2 linked regions of the Medicago truncatula genome follow. The protein of the gene in region 2 binds, or shares a complex with, the protein of the main gene of each other region. Links are inferred from orthologs where the notes say so. Each region holds a gene or a part of one and is shown on either strand. Other genes may lie near its edges.

Region 1 (7,329 bases), on a different chromosome or scaffold from region 2:
TAAAATTCCCTAGCCTGATAAGAGTAATTACTACAAGCCACAAGATTGAGTCACTGAAAATAATTCACATATCTCAGAATGTGAACACAAACTACAAATTTTTAAAACCAACAAGGCAAAGACACGGGGATTACTCTAATGACCCACTAACACTCAAACCCAGGTAATTGGATTGGAATATTTATATCAAAAAAATTCTAAAAAGAAAAGAACTAAAAGAAGCATCAGGTTAAAAGCAGAGGAAAAACATATATTTTATCATGAAATTTGTTTATCCGTTCTAGCACTCCTTTTCCTTCTCGTACCGTTTACTCAGAATCAGTTCTCAGTTAGTAGCTCCACGAGATCTCCCTTCTTCATTTTGGAGAACCCTTTCATGCCACGAGACTTTGCAAGTGCCCTTAATTCAGACATCTTCAGTGCATTCAAATCCTCATTTTGAACCACTACATGCTCATCCACACCCTCATTATTATAGGTTTGTTCAGAGTCATCAGAATCATCATCTGAAAATTCAGGGACGGACGTCTCATCCTTTGTATCAAGATCAATGTCAGACTCAAATTTAGGTTCTGGCTCGTCATCAAGTTTCGAATCTAATTGATCATGAATGTTCTCATTATCTTCAGTACCTATTGGTACTGCATTAGTATCAGCCACGTTATTAGAGACAGGCTGGTACCTAACACGTGGAACAGGAGACTTTCTTTGGAAAACTGACCGAGGCCGAGCCGAAGAAGCAACGTCGGCTTCTCGAGACTCGCCCTTTGGAGCACCTGAATCAGAAAATTTAGAGTTTTGTCTTCCATTGTATTGGTTACTTTCTTGCGATTGGTCAGAGTTAAGGTCTTTTCCATTGTCCTCTCCATTACTTCTCTTTCCTTGCTCAACAGAGTGTTTCTTCAATAGGTTGAGGAGGGAATCTACAGCACTTTGCTCTTTAACATGCCCTCGGCGTGTTTCAACTTTGTTTTCTTCTTTAACAGCGGCCCTCTCACGCAACCGAGCTTGAACTTTCCTAAATAATTCAACAATCTCCTTCTCTCTGGGGCCAGGGGATGAAGTGGCCTGGAATTTCCCTGAATTATACGATACTAATGGTCCATTTTTTGAAGATAACATATCTTCTTCTTCAAAATTCTCAAAGATATCTCTCCCATCATCGTTCCTATTTCTGCCTCTTGACGACCCATGCCTATTGTTTTGCCTTGAGAAATCTGAGTTCCTCCTTGCTTCACATACAAAAGATGCAGCCGTTGAACCATACTTTAGTCCTCCAATTTTGGCATGAGAATGAATTCTACGACGACCTAGAGAAGTGCATGAATATGCAACAGTTGTTCTTCCAAAACCACGTGAACACGGGAAACACTTGTCTTCTGGCATTCCACAACCTGAAATATATCAAACCAACTCAACAACCAGAGATAATCGTGTAAGGACGAAAAAAGTAAAGGAAGACATCAAATTATACAAAACATGGTGCCCTATGGTAGCAAACTATCAACCTGTAGGTTTAGTTATGATAAACATCAAGATAGTTTATAGGGAGCAAACTGAATCTACAAGCAGCTTATAGATTAACATGCTAATTTAAATTGGTTCAATCATCCAAGAAAAAAAAATCCAGCTTGGTAAGGTTCCCTCTAAGGGTCATAAAAAACATATGCAGTATCCATACAAAAAACATATTTTAAATTTACATGCTGAACTTTGAGTATCTACTTTTTACTGTTAAAATGTGTTACAAAAAGAAGGCTCAATCTAAAATGCACTCCATCGTAAAGGGCACACCGGTTATCCTCTTTTATCACCATTGATTTATTATTTAAAATAAATGAATGGTAGAGACTTATTTAACTAAAAAGGGTAAACCACCATTTTGGTCCTAGAATATGTGATGCACTATTAGTTTGTTTGGGAGTTTGGAGGGGAGGGGAAGGCTTCGGAAGGTTCGAAATATACGGAAAAATGGTAAAATCTTTTACATTTTTTGAAAGAATAATTTTTTAGAGAATGATAAATTAATACTTATGATTAATATATTTTTAATTTTAAGAATATCATAACTATATAGATTAAATTTGAAGAATTCATGTAAACCCTCCAAAACCCTCCAGCAATACAATTTTTGAGTTCCCCCACATGAGGAAGATTTTGTATTATGAAGAAATTTTTTTCTCAATGTCGTCTATTTCTTCTACTTGTTCCTTTCTTTTTTTTCCAAACCCCTCCTCTCCCTTACCCTCCAAACAAAGCCTAAATGTCCTGTAATTACAAACAATCTCTGATGCCTCTTTTGTAAGTAAGTTTAGGGACTAAAATGAACAATGAAAAATATATTTGAGAACTAAATTGGCTACCCAGAAACATGCAACAATAAAAGAGACGTTTGTGGATGTGTTTGCAATTTCGATAGATTCATAGACTATACTATAGTGACAAAGCCTCACACATTCAGGGACCCAAGTGTTGGTTTACCCAAATTTTAATCATAATCATCCACAATGTTCTGACTTTTAACATGTAACATATAAGAATTCCATGCTTCAGAAAACTTAAAACAACATAGTCAAAACTCAAAACAAAGTGAAAAACCTAAACTAGAGAAAAGGGCATTTCTAATAACAAGTAATGTTGCACCTACATCTTAAAATTCTACACCAAGGATACAATTGGTCATTGATATGTCAAATATTGGTCACAGAAAAAAAAAAAAAAACTTCAACCCACTAAGATAACATGATTTACCCAGAAAATAATAGCCAATAAAGTTTGAAGCTTTTCTATGAGAAAGCCACAGCTAATTGAAAAAACAAAGAAAATAAACCCAATTGAACATACGGTTTTTAAAACCCTAGTGTGAAATTTGTATTTCAAACCAATCAAATAAAAGGGGTTTTAGAATTTGAAGGGGTTTTTCCAAAACTAATATGAGAACAGTTTTGATCAAAGAGGAGAAGAGAGATACTAACCAACGTTGTTGGCGACGACGAGATGAACGGTTTGCGACATTGTTTTGTTTTGTTTTGTTGTGTTGGGAGACGGATACACAGAACACTCTCACAGTTTCTCTTCTTTTCTTGTAGGTTTTAGTTCGCTTGATAAGGGGTGTTCTCGGTAATATGTTCTTATGTTAGGGGCAAAACTGTCATCATCTTATTTTTAATTTTTTTTTTTTTTTTTACAAAAACAAAAATAATATGTATTCATTCAAATTGATAAAGTACATCAAATATAATATCGTATTTTACTTCATTTATAAACATAAAAAATGCATACAAATAATATGATACAAATCTATAGAAGGACTTATAAACATACGAAAAAACATCGTATTATTTGTATTATTTTTTATGTTTATAAATGAAGTATATCATCTAATTTGAAATGAATGATGAGTCTATCACCTAATTTCTAAGTTGGTGTTATATGGTCAATACAACATCGTATTATACTTTATTTTATAAACAAGATTTTTCCATACAAATTTATAGAGCAACTTATAATTTGAGGACAAAACATTTTTTTTTAAATGATCTTATAATTAGGGATGATATAAAATAATACACTTCCCTTCAAACTAAATTTGGTAGAATTCAAGCTTTAATTTATTTTTATTTTTTTACAAGAAGCTTTAATTTATATGACTATATGTACCTTGTGATTGTAATATTATAAGATAACATTAGCTTGGGCTCTAGGAAATGGCAGGGAAAGGAAAATGGTAGCTATCATTCTGCATTCACCCCCACTACCCTACAGAATCAAGAACAACTTTCACAGGTACAGAGAGAATGGTTTATTTAAGGTATCTATCAAATTACAAGTGTTCAACATGTTGATAAGATCGTATTAGTAGAATGCTGCCTATTGTTATTTTTTTATACTTGTTTTGGAGTGTTGAATCTTGAGAAAATGTTATGTTGCTTAAGACTTTGAAAGACCTTTCTCTTGAAGGAAATAAGACACATGAGCTTGGATCCTTGTGGAAATGGATCCTCTCAATTTTGTCTGTCTCATGTTTTCTCTATTTTCACATCTCAACTCTTATGGGGCTTGATAAGTGAGGAAAAGGGCTATGATGCGGCCTTTCGACAGATGGGACTGTGCACGTTGCTGACGAAATTGTTTTCAGATGATTTTATTGTCAGTTTACACTGCACTAAGCTGCAGTCAGACAGTTAATTGGTAGGGCATCATCCTTTGTTGACAGAAAAGAGAGATTATAACACAGTAGCAAAATATGCACTGATTTCCATGAAAGAATGAACTGCCTTGCCCCTAGATAAGAACAAATAAGAGGAAAAACTCTTGCACAATGTTATTGTTGTAATCTGTGTTTGCAAATAGTATGTTTCTTTAGTACTAGGTTTCATTAGTACTCTCTGCTATTGTTGTGATCTAAGTTTCATTAGTGCTCTCTAATTCTTTCATGATTTTAAATGGTTTGTTTTTATCGAGCTTACGTTGCAGGAGGAGTTGCCGACATTAATGGCTTATTGGAGGGAATTAATTTTTTCTCGGGAGTGGTTTAGCAATGTTAGCCATTTGTACTCTAGTTGTCAATGTAATCAGTAGCAACAATTTTCTGACACAATGTTGAACTCAAGAATAATTACAAAGCCACAATTTAAAAATCATATGTTTATTCTTCATTCTTGCTTCAGGTAAAATACATAAAAAGAAATAGAGGGACAGGTAAACTCAAGAAGTTGGTGCTTCTCAGAACTGAATTTCAGAGGCTTTGTGACTTTTTGCCATCTCATCAACATCATGTTCCATTTCCAACACTGGCGAATCAAAGAACATGCTCTCCTTACTGGCAAGAGTAAAATATATCAATAATCAAAAGAACCAGTTCCATTTGTGCACAATGTATTAATCTCAGAAATGTGGTTACCTGTTCAGTACACGGTTGTGGTCTACAGCACTTCGCATGCAGTATAGGACTCTGCCAACGATTTTGTTCATGTGAATTGGACCAAATGTTCGACTATCAATTGCTTCCTGCCATTTGAATTGGGAGCACTGAATGTTAGAAGAAATTAAGGAGTCGAGAAACATAACCAATATACGACGGAAGATCATAATATCTCTTGTGGAAACTTTCACTTAATGCTGTGATAAAGTTTGGTTACAATATTTCGAAGCTGTAAAAACTAAAAATACATCGAAGGACAAAAAAAAAAAATAGCATGATGAGAATTAACCAAACTTTTGCAGCTTAAGAGCTTGCCGCTAAAATCATTAACCTAAGTTCGGGTTACTATTCCATTAAAGAATTCCTTTCGGAAAAAATTAGAGCTCTCATCATGTTTGAATTTTGCAGGACATCCTTTCTCGATCTTTTTAATTTCCTATTTATATATAGATTCCAACAAACCATAACTAACTTAGCAATAAATATGAATAATTACCATACAAATACGATCAAAGCGAATAAATACACAAAATGTTATAGAACTTTTAATGTAAAATTGAAAAGAGGGGAAAGGAAGGTTGCTTCTACATTGAGGTGTATCGGTACTCTCGCTCTATAAATTTATAAATTAAAGATCATTTTATGAAATAAAAAGTTATTAGTCAATATTTATATTTTAGAAAACATCATTTCATATAAAAAAAAATCATTTTATTATTTATAAGAATCATATTGAATTTTTAACATTTTTTTCATAAAAAATTATCAATATTCTTTATTATAAGTAATAAAAATTCAAAAAAAAAAAAAATTATTTCGTCGAAGCTTTTGTTAAATAAGATTTAATTATTATAATTGTTAATAATAAAAAATAATTCTTTTTCTTAAAAACAACAACTCATTTGATCATTAATTATCGATTTGGTGTACCGGTACATTCAAATTTTTGGGTGTACCATAGAATTTGCCGGAAAGGAAAAGAAAAGAGAGAAAGAGAGAGAGAGAGCTTAACGGTGAGATCGAGGGTGTAACAAGCTTTGGCCATAAGGTACCGAATCTGCGTCCGCCTCGAAACCATTGTTGGAACAAAACTCTTTTCTTATTCCTTTTTATTTACTCGCTCAGCATGTGAATGCATTGTGTTTATGAAATGAGAAATGATATTTGTACGATCAATTTATGATAATTTTTATACAACTTTCTCTCTCATACTCATGGTCTTATCCTCTCTCTTCCGTTTTCTCTCTCCGTTGTTTTTTACTAACAAGAAGAAAGAAAAACAAGGTTGTGACTAAAGTTATCATGGAATGAATGTTCAAATATGATTGCTCTTATGAAATGTAGATGTGTAATAACCGATTGAAATATCAATCCTCAATTTATTCACTTTATCTAATTCAAGTAGTGGCCGGGAGGAGAAAATGAGAGAGAAATAAGGCAAATTCTCCTGAACACCAACCCTTCAATTTTATAGGTAAATGAGTTGTTTTTTTGAAGAAAAATATTAATTTTTATCATTTATAATTATAATGATTAAATCTTATTCATCAAAATTAGTGTAAACGAAATAATTTTTTTAAATTTTTATCGTTCATAATAGAGAACTTTGATTATTTTATACGATAATATGTAAAAAAAAAATACTATGATTCTTATAAACAATGAATGATGCGTTTTTCTTCTGAAATCATATTTTCTAAAATATAAATGTCGACAAATAACTATTTATTTCATAAAATTGATCGTTAGTTTATAGATTTATGAAGCAAGAGTACCTGTACACCTCAATTTACGAGTGTACCGTAGAAGTTCTCGAGAAATAAAGCAAAATAGCAAAAGAGTTAATTTTTTGTGTTCGATTAAGCTATAATGTTTTTTTTGGTAGTGGCGGGTTTGAACCCGAACCTTGCATATATTATGCATTGTCCTTACCAACTAAGTTAAGCTCATGAAGACTGATTAAACTATAATTTACTTAAAACTAATTGGTGACTAATAGAAAAAAAATCATAAATCATAAGAATTATGAGCTTAATTTTTTTTTTAACAAGCAAAGATAATTATATTAAGGTTTAAACATTATAAATAAATAATCATTTTTTAAAATTGACAAACTTTTCAATTTCCAATACACTGATTACACTAACTTTCATAAAAGTTTACCATTTAAGGTCTTAACTAGTGCTCACGCGGGCACTAGTTAACATTTCCCTTATAGTAACAACACACCCACAAAGTATTAGGAATGCTTTCAGGGACAAAAGAATACAAGCAAATATTATAATTTTGGCTTAATACATGCTTTGGTCCCTTAACTTATTTTTGGATTTCATTTTCGTCCCCTAATTAAAAAACGTCTCAAATTGGACCTTTATGAAGTAGATAAAATAGTCACAAGGAATGGG
Region 2 (7,331 bases):
ATAAAAGAACAAATGAAGAAGTAACAACAAAAGAACATCATCAAGCTGATCCGTAAAAGAACAAAAAAGAGTCACAAATTCCATTAATATATATATATATATATATATATATATATATATATATATATATATATATAAAACCAATGAAAAATATTTGTTATTGCTACGTAATAAATAATGATGAAAATTTCATCAAAAAATATTCTTAATAATTTACATGCATTAGTTGGCCCTAGTTTTTTTAGTGAGAGAAACTCCACATTCTCTCAAAATTCTCTCTATTTCACTCTTTGAGCAGGGGTAGTTTAAATCATTTTTTGACCCAGAATCACCCCTATTGAGGAGGGGCACAAATTTGTTATTGATACATAAAAAAATATTGTACAAATTATTTCTATTATTTTACGGGGACAAATGTTTGTCGATAAAAAATTATTTAAAATTAGTGTTTTAGTAATATATTTCACAAAATAAAATCAATTATAATATAACAACTATACATTAATAAGAGTAATTATTGTTATATTAATTATAAATTAGTGCAACATATAATTAATTTTTCAAATCGTAATATGATATTCAAATTCAAACAAACAAACACGCTTCAACGCACAACCTAGATATATTGCTAGTAAAGAGAAAAATCAAACCTATAATATTATTTGAAATTTTTTGCTAGGGAAACATGTTATGTTAGGGTTTTCACCCTTGCATCAAGGCAACCTTCTATTTTGATTGATCCCATTGGCCATTTGCGCTTTATTCGTGACTTGTACCATACTTGCATCTTCCAAAGAGGATATCTTGTTAACTTTTCTGGTAACAGTGGATGAAGTATGAATGAATTTTGTATTCAAATCTCCATCTTGATACCAACTCGTATTCACTCGTTGCTCCCAATACAAATCCTCTTGGACTAAGAGACGTGACATTTTCTTGTGCAAAGAATTACAATGACCAACATCATTTGTACTACTATCCCAATTTAGCTCCGCACGACATTCCTCAATATACGTCTTCAACTTGTTACAATGAGTTTTATTCCAATGTACCACCAAATCCTCGTCACATCCTTCCAACTGAGGGGGTTATATTGCGATCAAGATTATCATGCCACTGTTGTTTCACTACCTCGTTCAAGTTGGGATCAACTCTCCATGCATTTTAGAACTTAAACTTGTGACAAGTCATTCTAGGCCGTGTGCAAGGAACATGATGAAGTAGAATTGAATATTGATATGAGGCGAGAGTAACCAAATTTTCTAATTGACCATTTAGGAACAATTGGTAGTAATCTTTGTTTGATGTTGCTCTGTCTAGTCGTTCATCAACAACTCTATTAGTGGCTAAACTTTTGAACAATGTGAATTATAGCCTTCCGAATTAATATCAAGCAACCCAGCCTCATGGAGAACTTTTTTGAATTTGTTCATTAGCCATTGAGGTCTCCTGGTCATGTCTTTCTCTACATGTGCATAATGCCATTAAAATCATCTATCATACACCACGATAATGCAGAGTTTCACAACATCTGCTTAATAAAATCCAAGACTCATTTTCAGGCACTTGTTGTTGTCATCACCATCCCTATTCACACTCATCATATTGAGACAACACAAAGTGATCAAGATGGAATAAACCACACAATATCAATGGAATAGAACAAACGATTAGAAAACCAAACTCTCACAAGGATAACAAGAATGTCACTCAAAATTGGAAAAACATCCTTAAATCCTAGTAGAAGAAAACCTTGTTCCCCTAAAGCCGATAACCCAAACAAAATCTCACGGTTGTCTGGCTTAATTTCCAAAACTCTCATCAGTTTTTTTAACAAATCAAACACACATTTAAATAATGCTCCCTCCCTCCCTCTCTCTCTCTCTCTCTCTCTCTCTCTCTATATTAATTTTTTTTTTTGTCTAGTAGCCTAGTGGCTGGAGCTCATCACCTTTTTACACCCTTCTCTGATCCTTACACACTTAGTTTCGAGTTCAACCCTAGCGCGCCGCGTTCACTTAGTCGTCGAATATTTTTATTAACGTTGACATTAAAGTATGCAAAAATCTGTAATAGATAGATTTTAAGAGAGGTTTTGTGGTTTAGTTGATAGAAATTGAGTCTTATAGCCAAATGATTAGCTTAACTAGTTATTTCATTTTATGAACAAAATCTAATCTAACCTAGCTGAAGCTTTTGAATTCTAAACACCTTCAGTTATTGTTTGTTCAATGTGTAACTATTGAATTGATATATGAAACAAGGCAAGATTCTTGCTCACAGTCACCACCGAGAACACAATTGTACCATAACGCTTATTATTCTTCACTAATTGTAGCAAATAGTAGTTAGTTGTTGTACTGATCGGTCGTTATTTTGACCCATTTGCTTAGACATGTAGCTTACATTAATCACGATATGTATTGATGGGATGGTTGAAGATATGACATTGATTTTTATTATGATTTTATATTTGAAATATGATATGCACATTCTTTTTAGTGCTAATTGTTTCTCTCATTTTGTTTGTCTTTATTGCACTTATCTGTTAAAATATTGGGACATGCATATATTCCATCATGCACCACTACACGGAGAATATAGATTCATGTGTTGTTTGAAGAACCATAAATCAGTTAGAAGATTAGCTTCATTCACAACAACGCAAAAAGGTAATTCAAACATCTTTTTGTAAGCTCTTGTTCATTTATTTGTTTATGACTTCATTTTTTAGTTATATGGCTATCTCTTTTCCATAACCTAAATATTTCATGCTTTAACTTGTTTTGCTGGATCCTTATCAAACAAGTGAATTGTTCACGATTTAACATCTAAATATGCAACTTCCAGTTGTATTTCAGTAGAATCTGATTTGAGTTTGGTTTATCTCATGAATAAAGGACCGAAACTCAGCAACTCAAGAATTGTATTATGTTTTTTGTGTAAAAGTTTTTTGTTCTTGATAATACAATTCTTGAGTTGCTGAGTTTCGGTCCTCAAAAATACAATTCTTGATAATCAACAACTAACTATCATTATCTAACTATCAAGAATGGTATTATGTCTCACCACCTTTTACTTTATTCATTTGTACTATATCATTATCTATCACCTTTTACCCATCAGTTTTCCTTAGTTTTTAAATTGTTTTTCAATTAGTTCTAAAGTTTTTTTTTTTTTTTTGAGAGGTAGTTCTAAAATTGTTAACTATTGAAAGTAAAGAATCAAAATAATATTAATTACATTTTTAAAGTTGGTGATCGATGTGAATCGAAAAAAAAAGTTGGTGATTGACATTTTTAATCAAAATAGTATTAATGATATTTTTAATCTAAATTATCAATTCAAAATACTTTAATTAGTAGTTTAAGTTGAATATAGGCCAAACACCTTCCAGGTCTTTTAAGTTTCATATTTGTTTTAGATAGATCCTTTAAGTTTTTAAGGTTTCAGATATGTTTTTTAAGTTTGGAGTTTGTTTCGGATAAGTCCTTTAAGTTTCGAGTTTGTTTCATATAGGTCATTTCTATCAACCTCCGTTAAGCCAAAGTTGATTTAATAGAAGGGACCTATCTGAAACAAATTTGAAACTTAAAGGACTTATCTGAAACTTTGAAAACTTAAAGGACATATCTAAAACAAACATGAAACTTAAAGAACCCATGAAAATATTTGATCTTAAATATACTACTTATACTTTATTGTAAAATTCATGCATGAGACAAATGTTCCACTGAGCTATACTCACGAGATCTTCACTTAACTACTTTAATAACTACAATTAATAAAAATATTCTGATAAACTATTTTAATTTTACTTTTAAAATTAATTCAACTAATCATTTTCTTAAGAACGAGGATTAAAATGAGACGGAGAAAATATTCTAAGTAGCCTAAAAATCGTTATCTTGTGGTTGCCTCTCGTGTCACGACCTCCTATCATATTTTGGATCCGGATTCCATAACTTTAGGACGGGAAGAGTCATGTGACTTTGCCTTGATTTCCATCCTTAGATTAATCACATGGTGGATATTTTGACATATGTCCGATCCATTTTTGTGTTAAAATCCGTTCCTCAACAGATCCATCGCCGCTTCCAAGAACCACCGACCTTCAACTTGTCGTCGACCGCCACACACCCACCGTCCTGGTTGTCGAGCGCCACCCTTTTTAATCAAAATCTTAAACCTCCATTTTCATATAAAACACTGCAGAAAATCCAAACGATAGAAGAAGAGGTCGATAGCGGAACGACAATTAACAACATGTTGAGAGGAGGAAGAAGACGACAAATACTACAAAAAAGTTGAAACATGTGTCAAAATCTGAACCAAGAGATTAAACCAATGGTGGATATTGAACAAAGTCACATAACTTTTCCCACCCTAAAAGTTATTGAATCCGGATCCCTATATTTTATCCAAACCTCTTCATTTCTTCACACACTCCACTCTTTGTGCTAACACAAACTCATGAACTCGTGTCAAATTCCATTGTTGTCTTCATGTTAATGGAGTTTATTGCTGAAGTTGGTTTTTTGCACCACCCTCATCACCTTTTCACACCCTTCTCTAATCCTTACACACTTTCACCAAAGAGGTTTGTTTTGTTTCTCTCATTCTCAATTTCTTATTGCCATTTTTTCATCTGGGTTATTGTACCACCATGAAAAAAATGTATACCTAATTCATTGCATGTGCCTTTTGTACTTTTTATTATTTTTTGGCTATGATGTTTTTAATTTTTTAATTTAGACGGAAAAATTGTTCCTTTTCACCATTTTGTTTTGATAAAAAGGGTTTTTTGAATTTTGTTGTAATTGTTGTTTGGTAGAGAGGGTGAAATTATGCTGTACTATGTTTCATGATATAGTGGCAGTAAGGGTTTGTATTGTGGATTGTGAATGATTGGCACTTCCCTCATTTTTGTTGTATGATGAAGATTTGAAGGGATTTTGTTAAGATTTTCAAGGTTTTCGAGTTCAACCCTAGCGCGCCGCGTTCACTTAGTCGTCGAATATTTTTATTAACGTTGGCATTAAAGTATGCAAAAATCTGTAATTGATAAATTTTTAGAGAGGTTTCGTGGTTTAGTTGATAGAAATGAGTCTTATAGCCAAATGATTAGCTTAACTAGATATTTCATTTTATGAACAAAATCTAATCTAACTTAGCTGAAGCTTTTGGATTCTAAACACCTTCAGTTATTTTTTGTTCAATGTGAAATTCTTGAATTGATATATGAAACAAGGCAAGATTCTTGCTCACAGTCACCATCGAGAACACAATTGTACCATAACGCTTATTATTTTTCACTAATTGGAGCAAATAGTAGTTAGTTGTTGTACTGATCGGTCCTTATTTTGACCCATTTGCTAGACGTGTAGCTTACATTAATCACAAAATATGTATTGATGGGATGATTGAAGATAGGACATTGATTTTTATTATGATTTTATAGTTGAAATATGATATGCACATTCTTTTTAGTGTTAATTGTTTCTCTCGTTTTGTTTGTCTTGATTGCACTTATGTATTAAAATATTGGGACAGGCATATATTCCATCATGCACCACTACATGGAGAATATAGATTCATGTGCTGTCTGAAGAACCATAAATCAGTTAGAAGATTAGCTTCATTCACAACAACGCAGAAAGGTAATTCAGACATCTTTTTGTAAGCTCTTGTTGGTTTATTTGTTTATGACTTCATTTTTTAGTTACACGACTATCTCTTTTCTATAGCCTAAATATTTCATGCTTTAACTTGTTTTGCTGGATCCTTATCACAACGGAGTTGTTCAAGAATTAACATCCAAATATGCAACTTCCAGTTGTATTTCAGCAGAATCTGATTCGAGCTTGGTTTATTACATGAATAAAGGACCGAAACTCAGCAACTCAAGAGTTGTATTTTGTTCTTGTACGGATAAAATTACATTTTTATATCTTGTCCTCTGTAGTTAAAGAAAATTAAAGTATTACCCTGATGGATTAATAATTTAATAAGATTCCATTGATATGTTCATAACAAGCAATGCAACATGCCACTTATTACTTCTTTCAATTTTTTGAATGATTCGAACTGACATTATGAATTGTGAACAATTTCTTCATTTTTTAACTAAATGAAGCAGGAAGTCGACTTATTTTAGTTTAATTCTATTGCACAGCTAAATGCTGCAACTAAAACTGCAACGACTTTCTTCATGGTGTTAGCTACATTAATCGTTAATTTTTTTTTTAATTCTCTTCATTATTCTATGAGGCAAGGTTACTTTTTAATTCTGCAATTTCATTCACTATCAAATAAGGCATCTTTTAGTAGTATGAGTTCTGTACAGATGCAAGTTTTCCTTTTGGCGTTAGTGTTCCTTACCATGCTTTCTTAATGAAATTTGCTCTTGTTTAGAATGAATGATGAATCTGGCCTGCCTTATTTATTAGGAAATTCAACCACCAGTGTTGATGATCTATGCAAGATTATTTGGACTGTAGAAGCTGATTTAGAAGATGGTCATCTCCTGTACATAACTGGGGACCCTGCTGTGTTAGGCTGCTGGAAACCCAACATGGCTGTACTAATGTCTCCTACGGAGCACACTAATATTTGGAAAGCTGAATCTCAGGTAATATCACTGGGCTGTCTGTATATTTATCTAGTTGTACTGAGCTGAGTTTTGAATAGGGTTTTGTACACCAAGTGAAACATATAAAGCAAACCTACAATACATTGTCAATGATATAAAGAAATCTCCCATGTTATAGAAGAGTTGTGCGTCTAAAGCTTTTTTTATCTCCGGAAGGAAATCCGCAACACTGTAGTATGTATTCTATGGTAAATGATAGGAGGCTTGTTGCTACAAAATTATGCATCTGCCAAATCATAGTGCTCCTTTCATTAAAGTTTAGATTATTATATGAAAGCTTCAATATTCTTGAAATACCGTATAAACGTCAAAAAAAAAAAAAATCAATACAAGTGACTCGGTTGTTATTTTCCTTGCAGATTGCTTTTGGCTTGAACTTTAAATATAACTATTTCATTAAGGAAAAATCAAGGTCCTCAAGTGACATTATTTGGAAGCCTGGACCAGCATTTTCTCTTTCAGTACCTCTCACAGCTCTAGCAGATAATGAAATTGTGGTGAGGGATTTATGGATTAGGTCCAATTTCCATATTTCTTCAGCTCATGCATGGAACCCCTGCACTGAGGAAACGTATCTTCTAAAGCAGCCCTCTATTTTTTTTCCAGTCAAAGGTATTATTTGATATTTTTACACTACTCCAGAAATATGTTTTCCTATGTTTCTGAACACTCAAACAGT

What was found. Proteins that work in one complex are often made in the same cells at the same time.
Region 1: ribonuclease E/G-like protein, chloroplastic (region 2) and rho-N domain-containing protein 1, chloroplastic share a complex: the UniProt entries of both Arabidopsis thaliana proteins name them as parts of the chloroplastic degradosome-like complex. The link is inferred for Medicago truncatula from reciprocal best matches to the Arabidopsis thaliana genes RNEE/G and RHON1.

What each region holds. Positions count from the first base shown.
Region 1 is NC_053042.1:34,467,003-34,474,331, forward strand, and holds the start of rho-N domain-containing protein 1, chloroplastic, read right to left. Parts: upstream 3,105-7,329; 5' UTR 3,016-3,104; coding exon 2,976-3,015; intron 1,395-2,975; coding exon 319-1,394; 3' UTR 1-318. UniProt on the Arabidopsis thaliana protein: Binds to and supports processing of specific plastid RNAs. Associates via its C-terminal Rho-N domain to single stranded regions of 16S and 23S rRNAs or to rbcL mRNAs. May be involved in targeting transcripts to RNases such as RNE or RNase J.
Region 2 is NC_053046.1:30,752,794-30,760,124, reverse strand, and holds the start of ribonuclease E/G-like protein, chloroplastic, read left to right. Parts: upstream 1-4,299; 5' UTR 4,300-4,505; coding exon 4,506-4,600; intron 4,601-5,553; coding exon 5,554-5,660; intron 5,661-6,449; coding exon 6,450-6,631; intron 6,632-7,011; coding exon 7,012-7,264; intron 7,265-7,330; exon of another isoform or gene 7,331-7,331. UniProt on the Arabidopsis thaliana protein: Involved in intercistronic processing of primary transcripts from chloroplast operons. The endonucleolytic activity of the enzyme depends on the number of phosphates at the 5' end, is inhibited by structured RNA, and preferentially cleaves A/U-rich sequences.